Saccharomyces cerevisiae S288C: one gene and its partner. The protein of the gene in region 1 binds, or shares a complex with, the protein of each later gene. Each region holds a gene or a part of one and is shown in the gene's direction. Other genes may lie near its edges.

Region 1 (6,236 bases):
TATATAGGATAGCTTGTACTGCTAATGCTAATGAATTTGGGCAGTGATGCGAGAACATAAAATTGCGGAGAACCATATCAAAACGAAAATTCTCCTTTAAATCTTTTCAGGTCCATGCCTGGCTTCACTTCTTGAAGTAAATCATCTCTATTCATCGCTATAAAAACTCTCTTCAAAGTCTCTATAACAGTATCATTGTACGTATTCAAGAGAGATCCAACGTCTCCTTTTTTATTATTAGTGTTCACTTCATGCATACTTAGAACACTTAATAAGTAGCCTGCTGCTTCTTTGAAACAGCCTATATTCATGGATGATACCGCCAGATTATAGCGAGCTCTAACAAAAGAAGGTTTTAGTTGTAGTGCCCTATGATAGGCTTGGATTGCTTCCTCTGATCTATTGGAATTGGCCAATGAAGCCCCTAATCTATTCCACATGAGTTCGTCATTAGGATTCACCCTCAACGCACTTTCAAAGCAATCTATGGTTTTGTCAAAATCATCTTTCGTGTAAAATAAGAGACCCAAGCATAGTTGTATTTCAGGATCTATTGTGCTTAAATTGTTTGCTAGTTGCAAAAATTGCTTTGTGATATGAGCGTTCATATCAATATGGGTAAACCCTTTCTCTTTTTGAAATTTGTCATCTTGTTGCTTGATCCTTGACCAAATTTCCGGGTACTTAGTTTCTGCCCATTTATCCAGCATTGTGAAGGCGCTCATATCATAACCTTCGTTTATATAACTTATCGCTAAAGTTTTCATTGCCTCCAGATTCTTTGGGTCTAACTTTAAACATTCTTCGAGGGCGCTTATGCCGTTCAACTCTTTTTCATTCTGGGTTTGTACTAGACCCAATCTTAGCCATGCATCCACATGGTCCGGTTTTTCTTTAACAGCAGCTTCAAATGCTAGCGCTGCCTCGCTCAATTTGGCTCCGTTTTCCATCAGTAGGCAGCCAATTTTATAAGCATTAGGATTATTAAAATATTCGTTGTTAGATTGAAAAGCATACTCGATGTTCCCATTTACTCTACCGCCGAGATATTTCAAGTAGTCTTCTCCTAGATTGAGGTCATCATTAACTAATTCGGATGGCAAGACTTCTTCAGCGTCCTTGTGTATGCTATCCCACACTTCTTGGAAATCAGATTGATACTGATCTCCATATACTCCTTCTTCCTTCTCAACAGTTTCTGGTTTGTTTTGTTCTACTTCACTCACATTTTCCTCCTTCTCTATTTCATCATTTATGTCCAAGTTTTCTGAGACTTCTTTTTCCAGCTTTTCAAACTGATCTGTCCAGGGTTGTTGTTCTTGCTCATTGACTCCTTCTTTAGAACGACCAGACTGTTGTTGATTCATGAAAGCAGGCGATTGGAGCCTTGATCCACTAAGACTGTTCATAGAAGCATAAGCATAGTTATTCATCATGGTATTAGGGTACTGAAACCGGCTTGATGCGGTTGTTGAGCCACGCTGCCATGCCTTTTCTGAATTTCCTGTATCCGCGTTTCTATTTTGAATACTATTACTACCTTGAAATTCCTGTGACCAATGAGATATATCGTTCACTCCCTTAATTTGGGTTGGGTTTGCTGAAGTCTGTAGAGAATGTACGTTTGAAAAAGGTGGAAGCCTGCCTGAGGATGGCCCTATTTCCATTCTTCTTTTATCATCGATCAGTGGTTCTCCGTTTATGAACCTTTGCATATTCGCCATGTTTTCTTGTGAAATAGCATTAACATTGGATATAAAAGCCTCACTAATACCTGGCTTGTTGGTACCCTGTAGAGGTGACTCATTAAGACGCCCATTATTCTTCTGATTAAACTGAAGCGATTTGTTCTGCTGAGTATGTTTGTGCAACTGCGCAAGCGGATTATTTCCCACTGAGCAACTTCCTACGTCCATGTGTTATGATATATTGTTTATTGATGTATATATATCCAAAAATAGGAACTAAAACTGTTTGGTGAATCAATATTAATCAGAAACCTTTCTTATGCTTAATTTTGTTCATATATATTCTCCGCCGGAAGAGGGTACCGACTTGTCGGAGGAATTCGGAGTTAATCGCGATGATCCGTTTTTACATATTCGAAGCTTACAATCGAGAGAATTACCAACGACAATAGAATTTTTGACAACGAAAAGGTCAATAGGAGCCGAAGAATTAACATACAGGACGGATGGCAAGACCAATCGATGTTAGTCAGCTGATTGCTGGTATAAACAAGAAAAAAGGACTAGATGAAAATACATCAGGTAAAATCAGCAAGCCTAGGTTTTTGAATAAACAAGAAAGATCTAAGCAAGAACGTTTGAAGGAGAACGAAGAGAGTTTGACGCCTACGCAAAGTGATAGCGCTAAGGTGGAGATTAAAAAGGTAAACTCTAGAGATGACAGTTTTTTCAATGAAACAAATGATAAGAAGAGAAATCCATCAAAGCAAAATGGCTCTAAATTTCACTTTTCTTGGAATGAAAGCGAAGATACTCTGAGCGGATATGATCCTATCGTTTCAACTAGAGCTATAGATTTGCTATGGAAGGGAAAGACTCCTAAAAATGCTGCAGAATCTTCATATATGGGGAAGCATTGGACTGAGAAGTCCTTGCACGAAATGAATGAGAGAGATTGGAGGATACTAAAAGAAGACTACGCTATTGTTACAAAAGGTGGGACAGTAGAAAATCCATTGAGAAATTGGGAAGAGCTCAATATAATACCAAGGGACTTGTTACGTGTTATTATACAGGAGCTGCGATTTCCTTCACCAACTCCTATTCAAAGGATTACTATTCCAAACGTTTGCAATATGAAACAATATAGAGATTTTCTTGGTGTTGCCTCTACAGGTTCGGGTAAGACTTTGGCCTTTGTAATACCGATACTAATCAAGATGAGTAGGTCACCTCCAAGGCCACCATCTTTGAAGATTATTGATGGCCCCAAAGCGTTAATTTTAGCTCCAACAAGGGAATTAGTGCAGCAAATTCAAAAAGAAACACAAAAAGTTACAAAAATATGGTCCAAAGAGAGCAACTATGACTGCAAAGTAATTTCTATTGTTGGTGGACACTCCTTGGAGGAAATTTCATTTTCTCTATCGGAGGGTTGTGACATCCTGGTGGCCACTCCAGGACGTTTAATTGACTCTTTAGAAAATCACTTACTTGTGATGAAACAGGTGGAGACATTAGTACTAGATGAAGCTGACAAAATGATTGATTTAGGTTTTGAGGACCAAGTAACAAACATTTTAACTAAAGTCGATATAAATGCTGACTCTGCTGTGAATAGACAAACCCTGATGTTTACCGCTACAATGACACCCGTTATAGAAAAAATTGCAGCAGGATACATGCAAAAGCCTGTTTATGCAACCATTGGGGTTGAGACGGGTTCTGAACCTTTGATTCAACAGGTTGTGGAATATGCAGATAATGACGAAGACAAATTCAAAAAGTTGAAGCCAATTGTCGCTAAATATGATCCACCAATAATAATTTTTATCAATTACAAACAAACTGCTGATTGGTTAGCAGAAAAGTTTCAAAAGGAAACCAACATGAAGGTGACGATTTTACATGGTTCTAAATCGCAAGAGCAAAGGGAACATTCTTTGCAATTATTTCGCACCAACAAAGTCCAAATCATGATCGCAACAAACGTTGCCGCAAGAGGATTGGATATCCCTAATGTTTCCTTGGTAGTCAATTTCCAGATTTCCAAAAAAATGGATGACTACATCCATAGAATTGGTAGAACAGGTCGTGCAGCAAATGAGGGCACTGCTGTCTCCTTTGTTAGTGCCGCTGAAGATGAATCATTGATACGTGAACTTTACAAATACGTCAGGAAACATGATCCCTTGAATAGCAATATCTTTTCCGAAGCCGTAAAGAACAAATATAACGTCGGCAAACAGCTCAGTAATGAGATTATATATTAAAGTTATATTATTTTCTTTCTTTTTTTTGATGGACCCAAGATCTCAACTTTCAAGTTATTGTCTATATTTTGCTAAAAAGCCAAGACGCAAATTTACAAACTTCATTGTCATTGAAAGTCGGGCTAACTACTTGTAGGCCTATTGGAAACCCATCTATCTCACCAGATTGTATTAAATCATTCCAATATGTTTTGATCATTTTATCTTCTGGATTGAGCGCAGAAGTGGTATCCATTAGCCCATCAATTTGGCAATCGACACTACCTACAGGTATAGATAATGATGGGAAATTTAAAACGTTGAATAGTAAAATGTATCGTAAAGTTGTCTTTAGCATGTCACCAGGCCTAAATGGCATCAGCGTTGTAGGAGATATGATAACATCAGGCCTTTCTGATTCCGGGAAAGAAAGGTAATAATCTCTCATTAATTGTTGTGCATTATAAACTCTTTTGGTCAAATCCCACCATTCATTAACAGTATATGGGGGCCTTCCGTTTTCCAAAACCATTGGTTTTAAAATATCTAGGAGTGGTTCTCCGGAAATTTCGAATTCGTTTTTTATCTCGTTACCTGAGTCAGCAACATCTGCTTCATTTGCGAGATCAAACAATTCCCTGCTCAGTTCACTGGAAGGCTCCCATTTAACTGCCTTCATTCCTTTAGTTTTATTAACTAGGTCTTCGCACGTCTTTAAAGCCCTGATGTCACTGGGCGGAGGATCAATAACGCCGTCACCATACCATATTCCAACAACATAATTATCGTGTAATTTACTTGTAGAGGAATCAAAATGGTATGGAATACACTTGACGTCTTGTACCCATGGTTGACAGATGTTGATAACGCAACTCATGAAGTATCTCAAATCCGAAAGATCTCTTGCCAACGGCCCAATTACACTGGGAATTGTTTCCCTTCCCTCAAATGAATTATCCACCCTCAAGTAAGGGACGCGTCCAAAAGTTGGTTTCAAACCAAATAATCCTTGGTAACTACTAGGAATTCTGATGCTTCCGCCTATATCAGTTCCTAGTCCCAGCAAGGAACCATGAGCACCAATTAACGAACCCTCTCCACCAGAAGATCCACCACTGGAGAAGCTTAAATTAATACTATTATATGTGTACCCAAAGGTGTTAGATTGTGTATCTGTAGCCATCATCGATGAAGGTACGGTGGTTTTTACAAATATAATAGCTCCTAAATCTCTCAGAAAACTGACAATCAATGATTCTTCATTCTTGGTTTTTGGTTTGAAAGTTCGACATAAATAACCCAGTGAGGTGTCTACACCCTCAACGTTACATTGGTCTTTGAGAGATATCGGTATACCGTACAAGGGTGGCAATATGGCTGGTCTATTGCTGTCGTAATAGTCAGCCAATCTCAATGCCTCTGAAAACATGATTTCGGATAGACAATTCACTACTTGATGAATTAAAGCAGCCCTATGACAAAATGCAGCTGTTATTTCATGGCAGCTTAACTCTTTTGCTTCCAGTGCCTGTCTCAAGGCCATAATCGTGGAGTGGGTGATCTGATTTTCTGAAGATGAGCATAAATCATCGATATTCTTGATTAAATTTTTTTTATCGTTCTTCAACCTCGTTATAGTTGTGCTGTTTAATTTCCATTCGTCTTTTATCTTACTGTTCAGTTGATCTTTTTTTAATTGAACTTTTTCCTTCCACGTTGAGTGCACAGTCATTGTATAACTTTGGTACCGTGTTGTCTGTCGTTAATAACAGGTCAGAGCGGCTGTCCCTTCCACTCCCCATTGAAAAAAAAGTATTTACTCGACTATATATATGTAATACGCTTTTGAATACTAAAATAATGTTATCAGTAATCTTATCTATTATTATCATATTATCATATTATTAGCTATTATTATATCATGAGCAATTCGCGCGCGCGGCATTTGAGATAGCAAACTTAATCCGTCACACAGATAATACTACAAATTATGACACATAATACTCCCGGTACTCAATAATATCTCATTGTTCGGTCACGAATGTGTCATTGACTATCCAATAGAGAATCAAATACAACGACTACTGGGAACTTATCTCCAGAAAGCCGGCTAAAAGTAGGTGCTTGACATAAAAAAATCTCCCGGGGGCGAGTCGAACGCCCGATCTCAAGATTTCGTAGTGATAAATTACAGTCTTGCGCCTTAAACCAACTTGGCTACCGAGAGTCGATTTCTTGCGAGGTGTTGTATCTCAAAATGAGATACGTCAGTATGACAATACGTCATCCTAAACGT
Region 2 (4,433 bases), on another chromosome or scaffold:
TGATTATAATATGTACTTTTATATATTTTCTTTATTTTTCATTATTTTGACAAAAAGCTAATTTGATAATGTCAACAGAAAAATCCCTCGCCTTTCCGGTGAAATTTGTCACAGCCATTTGAGATGATATTATTGAAATCTGAGCATGGAGGAAAAAGAAAAGAGATGCGACAAGATGATTTAATGGGTCCAAATCATTTTAGCCTACGTATCATGTATAAAATAATCATATACACCTACCCAGTATCCTTATATGCAGTAAAAGAGCTCAACCTGAGCAAAACGTTTTCCATCAGTGCACTTGGAATTTTGAATAGTAATTCCAACCGGAGTCCAGCGAAGAAGCAAACCTTCTTTTCTGCTTGCGTTGCTAAGTCATATAGCTCTTTCTTTATTTCTATTTGTATTCTCGATCTAGCCTCTCATCTTTAGGCAGCAGCGGCAATAGGCTCAGGGGGGTGGATGCCTGCCTCTTCGTAGTACTCAGCCAAGTCTTCTTTATCGAAAACTACATCGATCATCAGTGAGCAGCTGGGACAAACAGCAACTTTTTCGCCCTCAAACATGTCATCCAGATATATTTGAAACCTATCTCCACAGGGACAAGGATAGGTGAACATTTGATTTTCAGGCTCAAACGTCATATCTTCGATTTCGATTTCGTCATATGTTGACATTTCAGCTGGTAATGTATTGTACAAATGATGTGCTTACAGTCGTGGTATGTATGTGTCTTTGAAAAAAAAAAGCGATGAGAAGCTCTTTATAGCGATAATATAGGTCCTTTTTCGGATTTGTCTCCACCCATTTCTTTTTCATCTGCTCTAACTTTTGTGACTTTACATCCATACACCCTCTTTAACACCCTTACACTTTTACAAATTTTCCTTTTTCATCAACTTTAAAATTATTGCGTGAGAAGTTCCTATTTTCTGATTTTCTCAGCGGAATAACCTTTTAGAATCCTGAGCTGCGAGCAGAGCGGCCTCGCCAAACCCGTGCTGGGCCTAGTTCCCCCCTCCATGTTCGGTCCTACACACGAGCATCGCTGGGAAAGCTTGAGGGCTTTCTCTTACGCAGTGTTCATGGTGTTACGGGATGGAACTGTTTCATATACGTTATTTACAGGCCTATCTTAAAGTTATAGGAAATTACACTTGCCATTTGCTTTTTGGTACTCACAAGAAGACGTTATAAACACACCAGGACAAAAAGTATGTGCTATGGTCATATGAGTAATGGAACTACATATTATTTTGAATGCTACAGGACCTCTCTTTGAATGGAATAGATAGTGGAAAAAGTAAACTTAACTAAAAGGGATGATATAAATTGTGACAGGAGCAGTGCACTAAACTGAATCCTTTGTGTACCCAAAAAATCAAGCCTCTTATGAAACGCCGAGTTTTTCACAAGAAGAGATGAAAAGAAACCAAAGCATATTTCAAGATAAGAAAAAAATTCCGCAACTTTTGTACGTTCTTTATTTTACTAACAAGCGTCATTAAATTTTCTATTACAGTTACAAAATGGGTATTTCTCGTGATTCTCGTCACAAAAGATCCGCTACCGGTGCCAAGCGTGCTCAATTCAGAAAGAAGAGAAAGTTCGAATTAGGCCGTCAACCAGCCAACACCAAGATCGGTGCTAAGAGAATTCACTCTGTTAGAACTAGAGGTGGTAACAAGAAATACAGAGCTCTAAGAATTGAAACCGGTAACTTTTCTTGGGCTTCTGAAGGTATCTCCAAGAAGACCAGAATTGCTGGTGTTGTTTACCATCCATCCAACAATGAATTGGTTAGAACTAACACTTTGACCAAGGCTGCCATTGTCCAAATTGATGCTACTCCATTCAGACAATGGTTCGAAGCTCACTACGGTCAAACCTTGGGTAAGAAGAAGAACGTCAAGGAAGAAGAAACTGTTGCCAAGAGCAAGAACGCTGAAAGAAAGTGGGCTGCTAGAGCTGCTTCTGCCAAGATCGAATCTTCCGTTGAATCTCAATTCAGCGCCGGTAGATTATACGCTTGTATCTCTTCCAGACCAGGTCAATCCGGTAGATGTGATGGTTACATCTTGGAAGGTGAAGAATTAGCTTTCTACCTAAGAAGATTGACTGCTAAGAAATAGATGAAATGAAAATACTACCAATTTTTTCTTCTCTTCTCCTCATCTCTTCATATAGTCTTATATATCATATATGCTATTATTATGTGTGTTTAATTATCATATCATTTTACCATCTTTTTCACAGGCGGTGTCTGCTGGAAAACACACTTCATGCTCTAAATTTTTCAATTTAGCAGAGAATACGAATTTTGCATTTCAAGGTTTGCAAGGTCATAGTATATACAGAAATAAGAACGATTAGTTAAAGTCAGAGAAAAAAAGCAATATTGTTATCTGCAAAACTTCGAAAAGTTCAGTACAGGTCTGTGTTAATATATTTTTTCATCATGTTAAATTGAAACAAGAGTTTTTCTTTTACCAGCAAAAGCACCGTCTAGCCATTTCAAAAAAAAAAAAAGAAAAAGAGAAAAAAACAGTTGGGTGACCACACCTATCAATTTTTTTCACAATTGCAGCTGTGGTTACTTGTTGGCTATACGATTCAGAATGGTAAACATTTGGTATAAGATAAAACCCATGGGATGTGAAAAGGAAAAAGTAATTAGGAGGGGTTTGCGGCGCCCTTTTATAAGAACCAAGAGATGAAGAAAGGACACATCTTGAAAGCGGAAAAAATCGCGACGCACGAACACGAATATTTCAATGGTTTAGGGTTTAATGAGATGAATGGACACCAAAGATCCTCCTTATCGCTGGGACATGGGGCTAAAAAATAAAATATCGGAAGCCTGCAATGAATACTGTACCATTTACATCTGCTCCGATTGAGGTAACTATAGGGATCGATCAGTATTCCTTTAATGTCAAGGAGAATCAGCCATTTCACGGAATCAAGGACATCCCCATTGGACACGTTCATGTCATTCATTTTCAGCATGCAGATAATTCCAGCATGAGGTATGGCTACTGGTTTGACTGTAGAATGGGAAACTTTTACATTCAGTATGATCCTAAAGATGGCCTTTACAAAATGATGGAAGAAAGGGATGGCGCAAAATTCGAGAATATTGTTCACAACTTCAAGGAACGGCAGATGATGGTTTCTTATCCGAAAATTGACGAAGATGATACCTGGTACAATCTTACCGAGTTTGTGCAGATGGATAAAATCCGAAAGATAGTAAGGAAAGATGAAAACCAGTTCTCTTACGTAGATTCTTCGATGACCACAGTTCAAGAAAATGAGCTGCTAAAATCCAGCTTGCAAAAAGCAGGTTCTAAAATGGAAGCCAAGAATGAAGATGATCCTGCACATTCTTTAAACTATACAGTAATAAACTTCAAATCTAGAGAAGCCATAAGGCCTGGCCATGAAATGGAGGATTTTTTAGACAAGTCTTACTACTTGAACACTGTAATGCTACAAGGAATTTTTAAAAATTCAAGTAATTATTTTGGGGAGTTGCAGTTTGCGTTCTTAAATGCCATGTTTTTTGGTAACTACGGGTCGAGTTTGCAATGGCATGCTATGATCGAACTGATATGTTCAAGCGCTACGGTGCCTAAACATATGCTCGATAAATTAGACGAAATCTTATATTATCAGATAAAGACATTGCCTGAACAATACTCAGACATCTTGTTGAATGAACGAGTTTGGAATATTTGTCTGTATTCGTCATTTCAAAAAAACTCCCTACACAACACAGAAAAGATAATGGAAAACAAATATCCAGAATTGCTTGGTAAAGACAATGAAGACGACGCTCTTATTTACGGTATCAGTGATGAAGAAAGGGATGACGAGGATGATGAGCACAACCCTACCATTGTTGGCGGTCTCTATTACCAAAGGCCATAACGATCATCGTGCGGCGCTATCATCAAACGTATTTGACTTGATGCCTATGGAGGTTATGGGTGCCCTTAATTAGGGATCGCTGTGGAAAGTTATAGAATATTACAGAAGCAGCCACAAGGGTGACCAGAAGATGGTTAAGGGATGTATCATATTGCACAATTGGAAACGAATGGAAGGGTATATAAAGTGACTGAAATTGGTAGCATAAACATTCTTGTATGTCAATGTTTGTCACTAAACGGATAGAATAGGTACTAAACGCTACAAAGAAAAATGTCTAGAGCAGTTGGTATTGATTTGGGAACAACTTACTCGTGTGTTGCTCATTTTTCCAATGATAGGGTAGAGATAATTGCAAATGATCAAGGTAATAGGACCACTCCATCGTATGTGGCTTTCACAGACACCGAAAGATTAATTGGTGACGCCGCCAAAAATCAAGCTGCAATCAATCCTCATAATACAGTTTTTGATGCAAAGCGGTTAATTGGTCGTAAATT

Evidence for each region. The genes of interacting proteins can lie anywhere in the genome.
Region 2: PRP28 (region 1) and AAR2 share a complex: the UniProt entries of both Saccharomyces cerevisiae proteins name them as parts of the U5 snRNP complex.

The regions. Positions count from the first base shown.
Region 1 is NC_001136.10:946,243-952,478, reverse strand, and holds PRP28 (mRNA splicing protein PRP28), read left to right. Parts: upstream 1-2,194; coding exon 2,195-3,961; downstream 3,962-6,236. Other genes in the region: PEX5 (Pex5p), read right to left, coding at 78-1,916; AMD2 (putative amidase), read right to left, coding at 4,023-5,672. UniProt on the Saccharomyces cerevisiae protein: ATP-dependent RNA helicase involved in mRNA splicing. May destabilize the U1/5'-splice site duplex to permit an effective competition for the 5'-splice site by the U6 snRNA, resulting in the switch between U1 and U6 at the 5'-splice site.
Region 2 is NC_001134.8:86,222-90,654, reverse strand, and holds AAR2 (U5 snRNP complex subunit AAR2), read left to right. Parts: upstream 1-2,865; coding exon 2,866-3,933; downstream 3,934-4,433. Other genes in the region: YBL071C (uncharacterized protein), read left to right, coding at 124-432; KTI11 (Kti11p), read right to left, coding at 429-677; YBL071C-B (uncharacterized protein), read left to right, coding at 1,099-1,197; 40S ribosomal protein eS8 RPS8A, read left to right, coding at 1,530-2,132; Hsp70 family ATPase SSA3, read left to right, coding at 4,207-4,433. UniProt on the Saccharomyces cerevisiae protein: Component of the U5 snRNP complex that is required for spliceosome assembly and for pre-mRNA splicing. Involved in splicing pre-mRNA of the A1 cistron and other genes that are important for cell growth.